Linked DNA regions of Oryctolagus cuniculus. The protein of the gene in region 1 purifies or fractionates together with the protein of each later gene. This does not show direct contact. Links are inferred from orthologs where the notes say so. Each region holds a gene or a part of one and is shown in the gene's direction. Other genes may lie near its edges.

Region 1 (3,641 bases):
TGTGTGTGTGTGGGGGGGAGGGTTCACCTCCCACTGTCGCCCCCAGATCCTGCAGACGGGCCAGGAGATCACGGAGGGCAGGGTCCCCTGTGAGTGTGTGTGTGTGGGGGGAGGGTTCACCTCCCACTGTCACCCCCAGATCCTGCAGACGGGCCAGGAGATCACGGAGGGCAGGGTCCCCTGTGTGTGTGTGGGGGGGGAGGAGGGTTCACCTCCCACTGTCACCCCCAGATCCTGCAGAGGGGCCAGGAGATCACGGAGGGCAGGGTCCCCTGTGTGTGTGTGGGGGGGGGGAGGGTTCACCTCCCATTGTCACCCCCAGATCCTGCAGACGGGCCAGGAGATCACGGAGGGCAGGGTCCCCTGTGTGTGTGTGGGGGGGGGGGTTCACCTCCCACTGTCACCCCCAGATCCTGCAGACAGGCCAGGAGATCACGGAGGGCAGGGTCCCCTGTGTGTGTGTGGGGGGGGGGAGGGTTCACCTCCCACTGTCACCCCCAGATCCTGCAGACGGGCCAGGAGATCACGGAGGGCAGGGTCCCCTGTGTGTGGGGGGGGGGGGAGGGTTCACCTCCCACTGTCGCCCCCAGATCCTGCAGACGGGCCAGGAGATCATGGAGCTGGACACCAGCGGCTTTGCCACACAGGGCCCCACGGTGTTTGCCGGAAACATCGGGGACAACCGCTACATAGTCCAAGTGTCGCCGCTGGGCATCCGCCTGCTGGAAGGAGGTGGGGTGGGCGGCCGCTGGGTCCCGCGGAGCGGGCGTGTGCTGACAGCTGTGCCTGCCGCCCTGGCTGGCAGCCCAGGGGGTCGCTGGGTCCCGCAGAGCGGGCGTGTGCTGACAGCCGGCCCGCTGCCCTGAGCTGGCAGCCCAGGGGTCGCTGGGTCCCGCGGAGCGGGCGTGTGCTGACAGCCGGCCGCTGCGCTGTGCCCGCAGTGAACCAGCTGCACTTCATCCCGGTGGACCTGGGCGCCCCCATCGTGCAGTGTGCCGTGGCCGACCCCTACGTGGTCATCATGAGTGCCGAGGGCCACGTCACCATGTTCCTGCTCAAGAGCGACTCCTACGGGGGCCGCCACCACCGCCTGGCGCTGCACAAGCCCCCGCTGCACCATGTAGGCCCCCACCCCGCCCTGCCGTCTCCCCCAACCCGTGTCCCCGCCCGAGACTGAGCCCCGCCTGCTCCCCGCAGCAGTCCAAGGTGATCGCGCTGTGCCTGTACCGGGACGTCAGTGGCATGTTCACCACCGAGAGCCGCCTGGGTGGGGCCCGCGACGAGCTGGGCGGCCGGAGCAGCATGGAGGCCGAGGGCCTGGGCTCGGAGACCAGGTGAGCAGGTGCTGGGGGCAGGGCGTCGGGTTCCCGGGCAGCCTGTGACCACCTGCTGCCCCCAGCCCCACAGTGGACGACGAGGAGGAGATGCTGTACGGCGACTCGGGCTCCCTCTTCAGCCCCAGCAAGGAGGAGGCCCGCAGGAGTAGCCAGCCTCCCGCCGACCGGGACCCCGCACCCTTCCGCGCCGAGCCCACGCACTGGTGCCTGCTGGTGCGGGAGAACGGCACCATGGAGGTGGGTGGGGCCCGAGCGCGGGGTGGGGCGGGGGGGGTCACGGAGGAGGGGTGCTTCCTAGCACGCAGCAGGGCGCCCCTCCTGCCTCCACCACTGCTGTTCGCTCCCTCAGATCTACCAGCTCCCCGACTGGCGGCTGGTGTTCCTGGTGAAGAACTTCCCTGTGGGGCAGCGGGTCCTGGTGGACAGCTCCTTTGGACAGCCCACCACCCAAGGCCCTGAGGCCCGCAAGGAGGAGGCCACGCGCCAAGGGGAGCTGCCCCTGGTCAAGGAGGTGCTGCTGGTGGCCCTGGGGAGCCGCCAGAGCAGGCCCTACCTGCTGGTGAGTGCGAGCCCCCCCCCCCCCCCCCGCGCCGCCCCGCCCCGCCCCCAACACGCACAGCACTCGGCACAGCCCCTCCCTGCAGGTGCACGTGGACCAGGAGCTGCTCATCTACGAGGCCTTCCCCCACGACTCACAGCTTGGCCAGGGCAACCTCAAAGTCCGGTTCAAGAAGGTGCTAGGGGTGGGAGAGCCTGGGGGGCGCTGGGGGCTGGGGGCGGGGCCAGCGGGGCCTTCACAGTGCCTGCCCCCAGGTCCCCCACAACATCAATTTCCGGGAGAAGAAGCCGAAGCCGTCCAAGAAGAAGGCGGAAGGCGGCAGCAGCGAGGAGGGGCCGGGGGCGCGCGGCCGCGTGGCTCGCTTCCGCTACTTTGAGGACATCTATGGCTACTCGGGGGTAGGCTGGCGCCTTCCTGGGGCGGGGCGGGGCGGGGCGGGGCCTCCATGCATGCTCACACCCCTGCCTCCAGGTGTTCATCTGCGGCCCCTCCCCGCACTGGCTGCTGGTGACGGCTCGGGGGGCCCTGCGGCTGCACCCCATGGGCATTGATGGCCCCATCGACTCCTTCGCCCCGTTCCACAATGTCAACTGCCCCCGTGGCTTCCTCTACTTCAACAGACAGGTAGAGTGGCCCTGGGCCCCCAGAACGAGGACCCTTAGCTGTGCTGGGGCCAGGGGTGACCTTGTGCAGGTTGGTGCGGCCCAAGGGGTGGTATCCGGAGCTTAACGTGGGGAGGGGTGCAGGACGTGGGCCCAACAGCCCTAGCCGGAGGAGCCCTTCCTCGGGGCTGTGTGTCGGGGGCATGCACCCTCCGCGAGCTGGGGCCACCAAGGTGAGTGCTTCCCAGGGCAGTGGACGGTCTGCAGTCCTGGGCGTGCCCAGTCTGTGGCTGCCCCCGGCAGGGCCTGTCTCCAGCCGTAGGGGAGTCCCTGAGGGTGGACTCAGCAGACTCAGCAGAAGCTGAGGTGCCCAGGCCACCGCCTGCGTGCAGCACCCTGTAGGTCTCCTGGGCCAAGGGCCAGGCTCGGCTGACCCCTCCACCCACCCGCCCCAGGGAGAGCTGAGGATCAGCGTCCTGCCTGCCTACCTGTCCTACGACGCCCCCTGGCCCGTCAGGAAGATCCCACTGCGCTGCACAGCCCACTACGTGGCCTACCACGTGGAGTCCAAGGTCTGTGCCCTGCCCCGCCCTTCTCCCCCAGGGAACTGCAGTCTGCGTGCCCTGCCCCGCCCCTTCCTCCTGACCTGTGGCACCCGCTGGTTGCCAGGTGTACGCTGTGGCCACCAGCACCAACACCCCGTGTACCCGCATCCCACGCATGACAGGCGAGGAGAAGGAGTTTGAGACCATCGAGAGAGGTGGGTCCTGCTCAGGGGACCCCTGTGCTGGGCACAGCCCCACCCCTGACCTCAGCGTGTCCCCACAGATGACCGATACGTCCACCCACAGCAAGAGGCCTTCTCCATCCAGCTCATCTCCCCGGTCAGCTGGGAGGCCATTCCCAACGCCAGGTGAGGCTGGGCCTGGGCGGGGTGGGAGGGCCTGGCTGGGCGGCCTGGCCTCCTGACCACCCCCTCCCCAGGATCGAGCTGGAGGAGTGGGAGCACGTGACCTGCATGAAGACAGTGTCGCTGCGCAGCGAGGAGACCGTGTCGGGCCTCAAGGGCTACGTGGCCGCGGGGACCTGCCTCATGCAGGGCGAGGAGGTCACGTGTCGCGGGCGGGTAAGGCCCAGGGTCCA
Region 2 (3,641 bases), on another chromosome or scaffold:
CCATGGCTTTCCCAGCCCGTTAGCAGGGAGCTGAATCGAAAATGGAGCAGCCGGGACTCGAATCGGGGCCCGTATGGGATGCTGGCACTGCAGGCGGAGGCTTAACTTACTACACCACAGTGCTGGCCCCAGCACCATTTCTAAAGGAAATAATTCAGATTAAAATGTTTGTAGTATTTTGGTTTGTAGTGATAATTGAGAGCTGGTAAAAGTAGAAGGTGTAGATGCCAAGACTGGTAAAACTATATTTTTCTAGTTAACAGTTTTGAGGCTGTATAAGAATACAATTGATATATTTGTATACTTAAAGTGTGTTTCATCTTTAGGTGCTGATCTTTCTGATTATTTTAATTATGGATTTAATGAAGATACTTGGAAAGCTTACTGTGAAAAGCAAAAGAGGATACGAATGGGACTTGAAGTTATACCAGTTACCTCTACTACAAATAAGATTACGGTAATTAGTAAATATTCCAGAATACCCTTGCTTTTTCTACAGTCCCACTTGTGCTCCCCAGTTAAATCACTTTTTCCCTATAAAGGTGGTTAAATAATGCCATACGATAGTTTAAGAATTCCATTCTCTTTACCATGTTTGTTTTTCTTCCCTTCCTTCCCTTCCAGAGTTTTATATTAATGATTGTCTGATGTTTTTAGTTTCAAGTCACAGACCAGCCACAGCTAGTTTGTCTTTTTATGGCCTATCAATTAAAAATTATGTGGTATCTTAATGGGGAATATGTTATTTAACTTAGGCCGAAGACTGTACTATGGAAGTTACACCAGGTGCAGAGATCCAAGATGACAGATTCAATCTTTTTAAGGTGAATTTTAGTAAATTATCCTTGGTTGCTCTCATTTTTTGTTCTTGAGTCTGCTCCCATGCCACTACTCAAGGGACAGAATTAAAATTGAAATAGCTGCCTTTTTTCCAAACCTTCAGCTTCCTGGTGACTTACAAGTTTGCTGATTGTTGTTTTATCTCTTCTTTTGCAAGCATGTGAATTTATAGCCTGTTATACTAACATGCCAAGTAAAACTATTCTTTGCTTGTATGTTGTGATTTTTGAGACATAGTACATGTTTGTTTGTAGGATCTGAAAGTTCATGGCAACAGGTTAAGTTCTCATTGTAGATCACACTTTAATCTTTACCAGCAGAACTGGAGATTCTTTCTCCTGAGTGTTTATAAAATGGTGAGGCACGTGGTATGCAGTTATTATCTATATGATGCTGAGATCATTGGTGTGATGTCTCTTAGTTCCAGATATCTTCAAGAATTTTAGGAATTCTCTGAGACTCTAAACTCAACATTGGGATAAAGCCATTGATTGTTAAAATTAATATATAAAGGGTGTTGGTTGAAATTTGATACTACTGTTCGATTCCGTGGTAGCAACACAGGTAGACTTAGCCCAAACAATAATGTGATGTTTTCATACTTCTGTCTTGAAACTTTTTGTGTGCTCTTCATTCTTTACCTTGATACTGTCTTTGTGTATTGAATTGCACTGTGATGAAGATTGGGAGTGGCTTTCAGCTTGGATTCTGTACTCAGGAAACTTTTGTGGGCTGAGTATGGAACTGTGCCCCTTTTGGGATTGCAGCCCTGTCCACCAAAATACTGCCTTATGCATTGCATGTGCTATATCCGCAGATGTAGCCGCTCTGCTGGACACAGTTCTGTATAGTGAACTTAATTTTAATTAACATCACACTCTGGGTAAGTATTTGGTTCTTGTTCTGTTGAAAATATTTTGAAAATATGTGATGGTGTCTCCCCTGTTTTAAAAGGAGGTCAGGTTCTCTTTGCTGACTCTGGACTTAGGCAGTGACTAAATTGTTATCCTGGAACAGGTTGTGTGCAGTGGTGCATCAGAAGTGACAACTCCCTTTGCAGACTGCTGGCTTCTGAATACTTTGGTTTTTTGTTTGTTTTTCTGTTGACTTCTAGAAACAGAGTAGGACTAATCTCATCAAAGGTAGTCATTGCAGCTGTGTTTTTTATATGCATAATGTTTGTGGAAAAATTATTTTGAGGTTTATTTTGGTGATAGGACCAGAGGTCATTGACTTTTGCAGTCTGATTTATTGGCTTCTGAATGAGTAAGGACTTGGAACTTATGGGTAGAGTGTAATAGTTTTCTTGCCTTGATAATGTGCTTAGATACTAATAATGTCTGGATTTGGAACAGAGTGTGCATTTTAATGTCTGTGGCAGTCCTTTTACCTTTAGGTGGGTGTTGTGATCTGTAGGAAACAATAGCACTAGGACCATGATGAGAAAGTCCTTAATCTTAAACTGCCTGCAAACATTGGTGTGGACGGTGGGAAGCTGCTTTGAGGGTTGGCAAAAGCATGCACATCTGATTTTCAGAAGAGGAACTGGCAGAAGGTTAGACTAGAACGGGAGGGGGATAAGGAAAATCAGACCAGCTAGGGAGCTTGCTGTAGGCACTCTAGGAGTGGAACTCTTAAAGCTGAATGGGCACATGTTTGGATTTAAGAATCATAATTAAATTTTCATATATACAATAAAAATACTTCGTCTTCATCCTTAGTCAAGTGAGCGACAAGCCATCAGCCTCTTTTAGGTAACTTCTTTTGCTTTTCATTGTGTAGATTTTCCAACATAGTAACGAGTGGGGAAAGTGGTACAAACGAACCTCTAGGTGCTTATACAGCTTCAGTGAGGACCAGCATTCTGACATTCTTGAGGTACAGCCTTCTAAATACTTTAGTATGAGTAAGGTCTTTGTGTTAAAATAAAGGAAGTTGAAATGTAATAGGTATAAAGATAAGCCACTCAATTGGGTGCAGGTGAGTTGTGTAATTATAGAATTCAGAGTGGGGTGGAGAGATTGGGTAACATGTATGATAGGTATGCGTAAGAAGAAAACTGACCGCATCCTTTTCTTTAAAAAAAATTTAAGATTTATTAATTTATTTGGAAGAGTTACAGAGAGGGATAGAGAGAGAGAGAAATTTTCTGTCTCCTGGTTCTCTCATCAGTGGCCAGGCCTGAGCCAAGCTGAGGCTAGTCACCAGGAAGTTGATCCGGGTCTCCCACTTGGGTGCCAAGGGCCCAAACACTTGGGCTTTCCGCTGCTTTCCCTGGTCATTAGCAGGAAGCTGGATCTGAAGTGGAGCAGCTGGGACACGAATCAGCACCCATGTGAGATCCTGGCGTCTCAGACAGAGACTACCCACTGCACCGCAATGCTGGCCCCATCCACTCTTGTTCTTATTTATTTATTTATTTGACAGAGTTAGAGAGAGGCAGAGACAGAGAGAAAGGTCTTCCTTCTGTTGGTTCACCCCCAAAATGGCCACTACGGCTGGAGCTATGCCGATCGGAAGCCAGGAGCCAGGTGCTTCCTCCTGGTCGCCCACGTGGGTGCAGGAGCCCAAGCACCTGGGCCATCCTCCACTGCCCTCCCGGGCCACAGCAGAGAGCTAGCCTGGAAGAGGAGCAACCAGGACTAGAACCCGTATGGGATGCTGGCGCTGCAGGCGGAGGATTAACCAAGTGAGCCACAGCACTGGCCCCAAGATATATTTATTTATTTATTTGAAGAGCAAAGGTACAGAGAGAGGAAGGGAGAGGTAGAGAGCAAGCAGCATCTTCAATGACCTGGGTC
Region 3 (4,242 bases), on another chromosome or scaffold:
CGACCCCTGAGCACCAGCCCCCCCTTCCTGACCCTCGGGTCGCTAGCCGATCCCCGTGCACGCACCGCAGCCTGATTTCTGCCTCTCCGAGGATCCCGCATCCTAGCCCTGAGCGCCCGCCGCCGACTTCCCTAAATGGTCTCCATTTCTGAGTCCCTACCTTCCCTCCTAACTTTGAGCGCCGCTTTCTTGGAAGTCCCTAGCTCTGGCCCCCTACCGTGGAGCTCCGGTTCCTATCTTTGCTTTGTGCGTTTCATTCGCTCAGATCTGGGAGGTGGGGTCCCCACACGCAGCCCTCACGTTGACCCTAGCCTAAACGTTCCCGACTCCCGCGGCTCGTCCGCGTCCCGACCCTCACACCTGGCCCCCGCGCCCCTCGGCCACCCAGCTCCCTACCTAGACGCCCTGGCCCCTTGCGAGCGCACACCTCGCCCCAGCCCCGCGGGAGCCCGCAGCCCGCTGCCGGCCCCCCAGTTCCCGCTCCGCCGGCCCCGAGGACACACCTCGCCCGCCTCTGGATAGTAGCTCCACTCGGCCAGGTCGTGGGCCTCCATCTTCACCGAGCCCAGCATCCCCCGGGCCTGCGCCCCCACCTGCCCCCGCTCCGGCCCCCGGGGGAACCGAGCGCTTCGGGTGTCTCGGCGGGCACGGCCCGACTTCGCCCCGCGCGCGCGCGCCGGTCCGACTGCCCGGGGTCCCGCAGTCCCGGGCGCCGCGGGAGGCGGCCACGCTTTATAGCCGGGGCACCCCCCGCCCTCGCCCGCCCCGGGCTCCCCTCCCGCCTCCCCGAGGGCGGTGCGCTCGGGCTGGGGCGCCCCCTGCGGGACTGCGAGGACACAGACCTCGGGCGTCGGGAGCCGCCGCAGCCCCTGGACGCTGCTGCTGGACGCCGCCCGGGGTGAGGGGGAGGCCCGTGGGAGGGCCATCCTCGCTGGCCTCAAGGCCCCCACGGCGGAGGCCCGGGGTCCTTCCACCCCGGGGGGTTTCGCCTTCTCGACCTGAGAGGGCAAAAAGCCAGGGGCCGGTGTGGCCGCGGCGGACGAAGGGGCCTCCTGAGGGCACCGGTGGGTCACTATGAGGAGCCCCTCGACACCACATTCCCGTTGGACGAACTGGAAGACCGAGACTTCCGACGGCTGGAAATGCTTCAGGACGTGTGCACGTTCAGGACCAGAGATAAGAAGGGCCGGGGACGGCTCAGACCCCAGTTGGACAACGCACCACCTCCGAGGGCCAGGAGCTTCGCCGCCCGGACTGCACTGCCACCAGCCAGCCGGCCGTCCAGGGACTCAGAACGGCCGTGGACTCCATTTCCCAGAAGCCCCTCTGCCCACTTCCGCCGGCGCCTCCACCAGGGCACTCCATTTCCCAGAAGACCTAGCGCCGACGGCCGGAAATGGAGGGCGGCCCCGGCGCACTCCGGGGAGGGCGAAGGGCGGCCCGCGCGGGAGGAGGTAGAGGCGGAGTCGGACCGTGGTCTGGACTCCATTTCCCGGCCGCCCTCCATGTGCGGCGCGTGCGCAGTGTTACGGCGGCGAGCGGAAGATGGCGGCGGCGGCGTCTGCGAAGAGGCGCTGCTGAGGGGGCGCGAGGGGGACGGAGGCCCGAGCCGCGGTGAGCGGGAGGCGGCGTCGGGGGGCCTGGCGTGGGGGGGCGGAGGGGCTGGGAGAGGCGGGGAGGGCCGCCGAGGGGAGAGGGGCGCGGCGGCCCTGGGGACCCCTGTCTGCCCCCACGCTCCCGCTCCGGCCCCTTCCCCGGCTCGGCCCCGGGGCGAGGTTGCAGCGTGGCCCCGGGCGCGTCAGTCCCGCCGACCTCGCCGGCCTGGGCCCTGCGTGCGTGCCCGGTGCCCCCGTCGCGCAGGCGCCGCGGCGCTGCGGCTCCCCTGGGCGCCACGCAGCTCCGCGCTCTGGGGGTTTTGCACGGGCTGCTGTGCGCCCCTGCCCGCGACACCCTTCCACCCGACCTGCCCGGCCGGCTCGCACCCATCCTGCGGCCTCGCCGCCCGCGTCACTTCCTCTGCGAGGCCCTTTCCCGCCCTCCGCCCCGAAATCGGCCAGTGAAGTGCGCCCGTGGGTGCCCGTCCCTCGCCTCCCCGTCACGTGTGCGCTCGGTGGTCGCGAGAGCTCTGTCTGTGTGCTGATTGACGCCTGACTGTGAGTGAGGGTGGGGGCCAAGGTGTGTCTGGGTTCCCACCTGTCACGCCGGAGACGGCCCGTGGATGCTCGTGGAATGAATGAAGAACACGCGTGGAGCTGCTCTGTGCGGTGCGGCGGTCGTGGGCCGCCCTCCGAGCGTGCCTCCACGGGAGGACGCGGCCGCGCACTGAAGCCCCGTGCCGCGCTGTCCCCGCGGGCTGCCCGGTCCACGGCCCAGGGTCGTGCGATGCCGCGGGCTTCCTGGTCCACAGCCCCGGGTCGTGCCATCCCACGGGCTTCCCAGTCCACGGCCCCGGGTCGTGCCATCCTGCGGGCTTCCCGGTCCGCGGTCCCCGGTTGTGCCGTCCCGCGGGCTTCCTGGTCCACGGCCCCGGCTAGTGCCATCCCACGGGCTTCCCGGTCCACGGTCCCGGGTCGTGCGATCCCGCGGGCTTCGCGACCCACAGCCCCGGCTGGTGCCATCCCGCGGGCTTCCCGGTCCGCGGTCCCCGGTTGTGCCGTCCCGCGGGCTTCCTGGTCCACGGTCCCGGGTTGTGCGATCCCGCAGGCTTCCCGGCCCACGGCCCCGGGTTGTGCCATCCCGCGGGCTTCCTGGTCCACGGCCCCGGCTTGTGCCATCCCACGGGCTTCCCGGTCCACGGTCCCCGGTTGTGCCATCCCGCGGGCTTCCTGGTCCACGGTCCCGGGTTGTGCGATCCCGCAGGCTTCCCGGCCCACGGCCCCGGGTTGTGCCATCCCGCGGGCTTCCTGGTCCACGGCCCCGGCTTGTGCCATCCCACGGGCTTCCCGGTCCACGGTCCCCGGTTGTGCCATCCCGCGGGCTTCCTGGTCCACGGTCCCGGGTTGTGTGATCCCGCAGTCTTCCCGGTCCACGGCCCCGGGTTGTGCGATCCCCGGGCTTCCTGGGCCATGGTCCGGGGTTGCGCAGCCACAGGGACGCGCGGCGGGCACCGCGACCTTGGGCGATTTCTGGGCGAACATCTAGAGGGTGCTGACCCAGCGGTTCAGGCTGCTGCTGCCTGAGGTGCACCCTCTGTGAGGTGGACACATCGGCCACCGGCAGCCGAAGGGGAACATGTTTGGGCTTACAAAAAAGACAGACAGCCAAGGGCACAGCCCAGACAGCAGACAAGGGAGGAGTCGGGGTGACGCGTGACGCCTCTCACTGGGTCTTGGCGCATCAGCATCTGAGGAGAGTGGGGAGGTTCTCGGGTTCTGACGAGGGGGCCAGCGTGCGCTCGAACCTGGGCTGGGCACAGGGACGCTTTCATCCGCGCAGTGCTCGGTGGGGTCCGCCGCCACACTGTGTGCCCTTGGGCCGTGACTTCCCCTCTCTGGCCTCAGTGCCCTCACCTGTACACACACACGGAGGCTAAAGTCAGTTGCTGGGGCAGGGGTTTGGCACAGCAGTGGGATGCCACATCCCATCTGAGTGCTGAAGCCAGCACTGCCAAGGCACGCGCTGGGGGACAGCTGATGGTAGCTCACGCGCTCCCTTCCCTGTCACCCACTCGGGAGGGAGACCAGAACTGAGGCCCAGGTGCCCGGTTTCAGCTTGACTCTGGCTGTCGGAGGCATTTGGGAAGTGAACTAGTGGATGCAGAAGTCTGTCTCTGTGTGTCTCTGCCTTTCAAATAAATAACAAATCAGTTAAAATTAAAAAAAGAAAATCCTGAGTATCTAACTCAAAAAGCTGGTGTCATGGGGCTTGTGCATATGTCGGGATTGCCCTCTGTACATGCTAAGTGCTGGGCAGGTGTCACCTGTAATTGTCCAAGCATTGTAGCGCCAAAGGGCAGGGCTCCTGAGGCCGGGCAGTGGGGAGCCCTGGCCGGGAGTGTGGACTCTTTCAGCAGTGTATTGAGCACCCCGGGCGCCAAGCACTTCTCTTTGCTGAGGGTATGGAAGTCAAGGCAGAGAGAAGTCCCCGCCTTCATGGAGCTTACCGATCAGTACGCCTCGGAGAAAGATAAAGCCACACAGGGTGGGAGAGGGAGCTGGCCCTGGGCGATCAGGGAGGCCTGGCTTCAGAGCTGTGCGAGGGAAGACCTGCGGGAAATGAGGAGGGGGCATCCTGTGAGCTCCT

The links.
Region 2: the proteins of CPSF1 (region 1) and FIP1L1 fractionate together in Homo sapiens (co-fractionation; 8 studies listed by BioGRID and IntAct, with this or other methods). This does not show direct contact. The link is inferred for Oryctolagus cuniculus from reciprocal best matches to the Homo sapiens genes CPSF1 and FIP1L1.
Region 3: the proteins of CPSF1 (region 1) and SYMPK fractionate together in Homo sapiens (co-fractionation; 5 studies listed by BioGRID and IntAct, with this or other methods). This does not show direct contact. The link is inferred for Oryctolagus cuniculus from reciprocal best matches to the Homo sapiens genes CPSF1 and SYMPK.

What each region holds. Positions count from the first base shown.
Region 1 is NC_091437.1:168,121,281-168,124,921, reverse strand, and holds part of CPSF1 (cleavage and polyadenylation specificity factor subunit 1), read left to right. Parts: intron 1-590; coding exon 591-732; intron 733-941; coding exon 942-1,120; intron 1,121-1,197; coding exon 1,198-1,334; intron 1,335-1,399; coding exon 1,400-1,574; intron 1,575-1,686; coding exon 1,687-1,896; intron 1,897-1,981; coding exon 1,982-2,071; intron 2,072-2,150; coding exon 2,151-2,294; intron 2,295-2,367; coding exon 2,368-2,520; intron 2,521-2,953; coding exon 2,954-3,070; intron 3,071-3,167; coding exon 3,168-3,258; intron 3,259-3,326; coding exon 3,327-3,411; intron 3,412-3,482; coding exon 3,483-3,624; intron 3,625-3,641. UniProt on the Homo sapiens protein: Component of the cleavage and polyadenylation specificity factor (CPSF) complex that plays a key role in pre-mRNA 3'-end formation, recognizing the AAUAAA signal sequence and interacting with poly(A) polymerase and other factors to bring about cleavage and poly(A) addition.
Region 2 is NC_091439.1:110,490,881-110,494,521, reverse strand, and holds part of FIP1L1 (pre-mRNA 3'-end-processing factor FIP1), read left to right. Parts: intron 1-326; coding exon 327-457; intron 458-755; coding exon 756-824; intron 825-2,622; coding exon 2,623-2,718; intron 2,719-3,641.
Region 3 is NC_091449.1:11,171,200-11,175,441, forward strand, and holds the start of SYMPK (symplekin), read left to right. Parts: upstream 1-1,393; 5' UTR 1,394-1,396; coding exon 1,397-1,614; intron 1,615-4,242. Other genes in the region: FOXA3 (hepatocyte nuclear factor 3-gamma), read right to left, coding at 504-572. UniProt on the Homo sapiens protein: Scaffold protein that functions as a component of a multimolecular complex involved in histone mRNA 3'-end processing. Specific component of the tight junction (TJ) plaque, but might not be an exclusively junctional component. May have a house-keeping rule.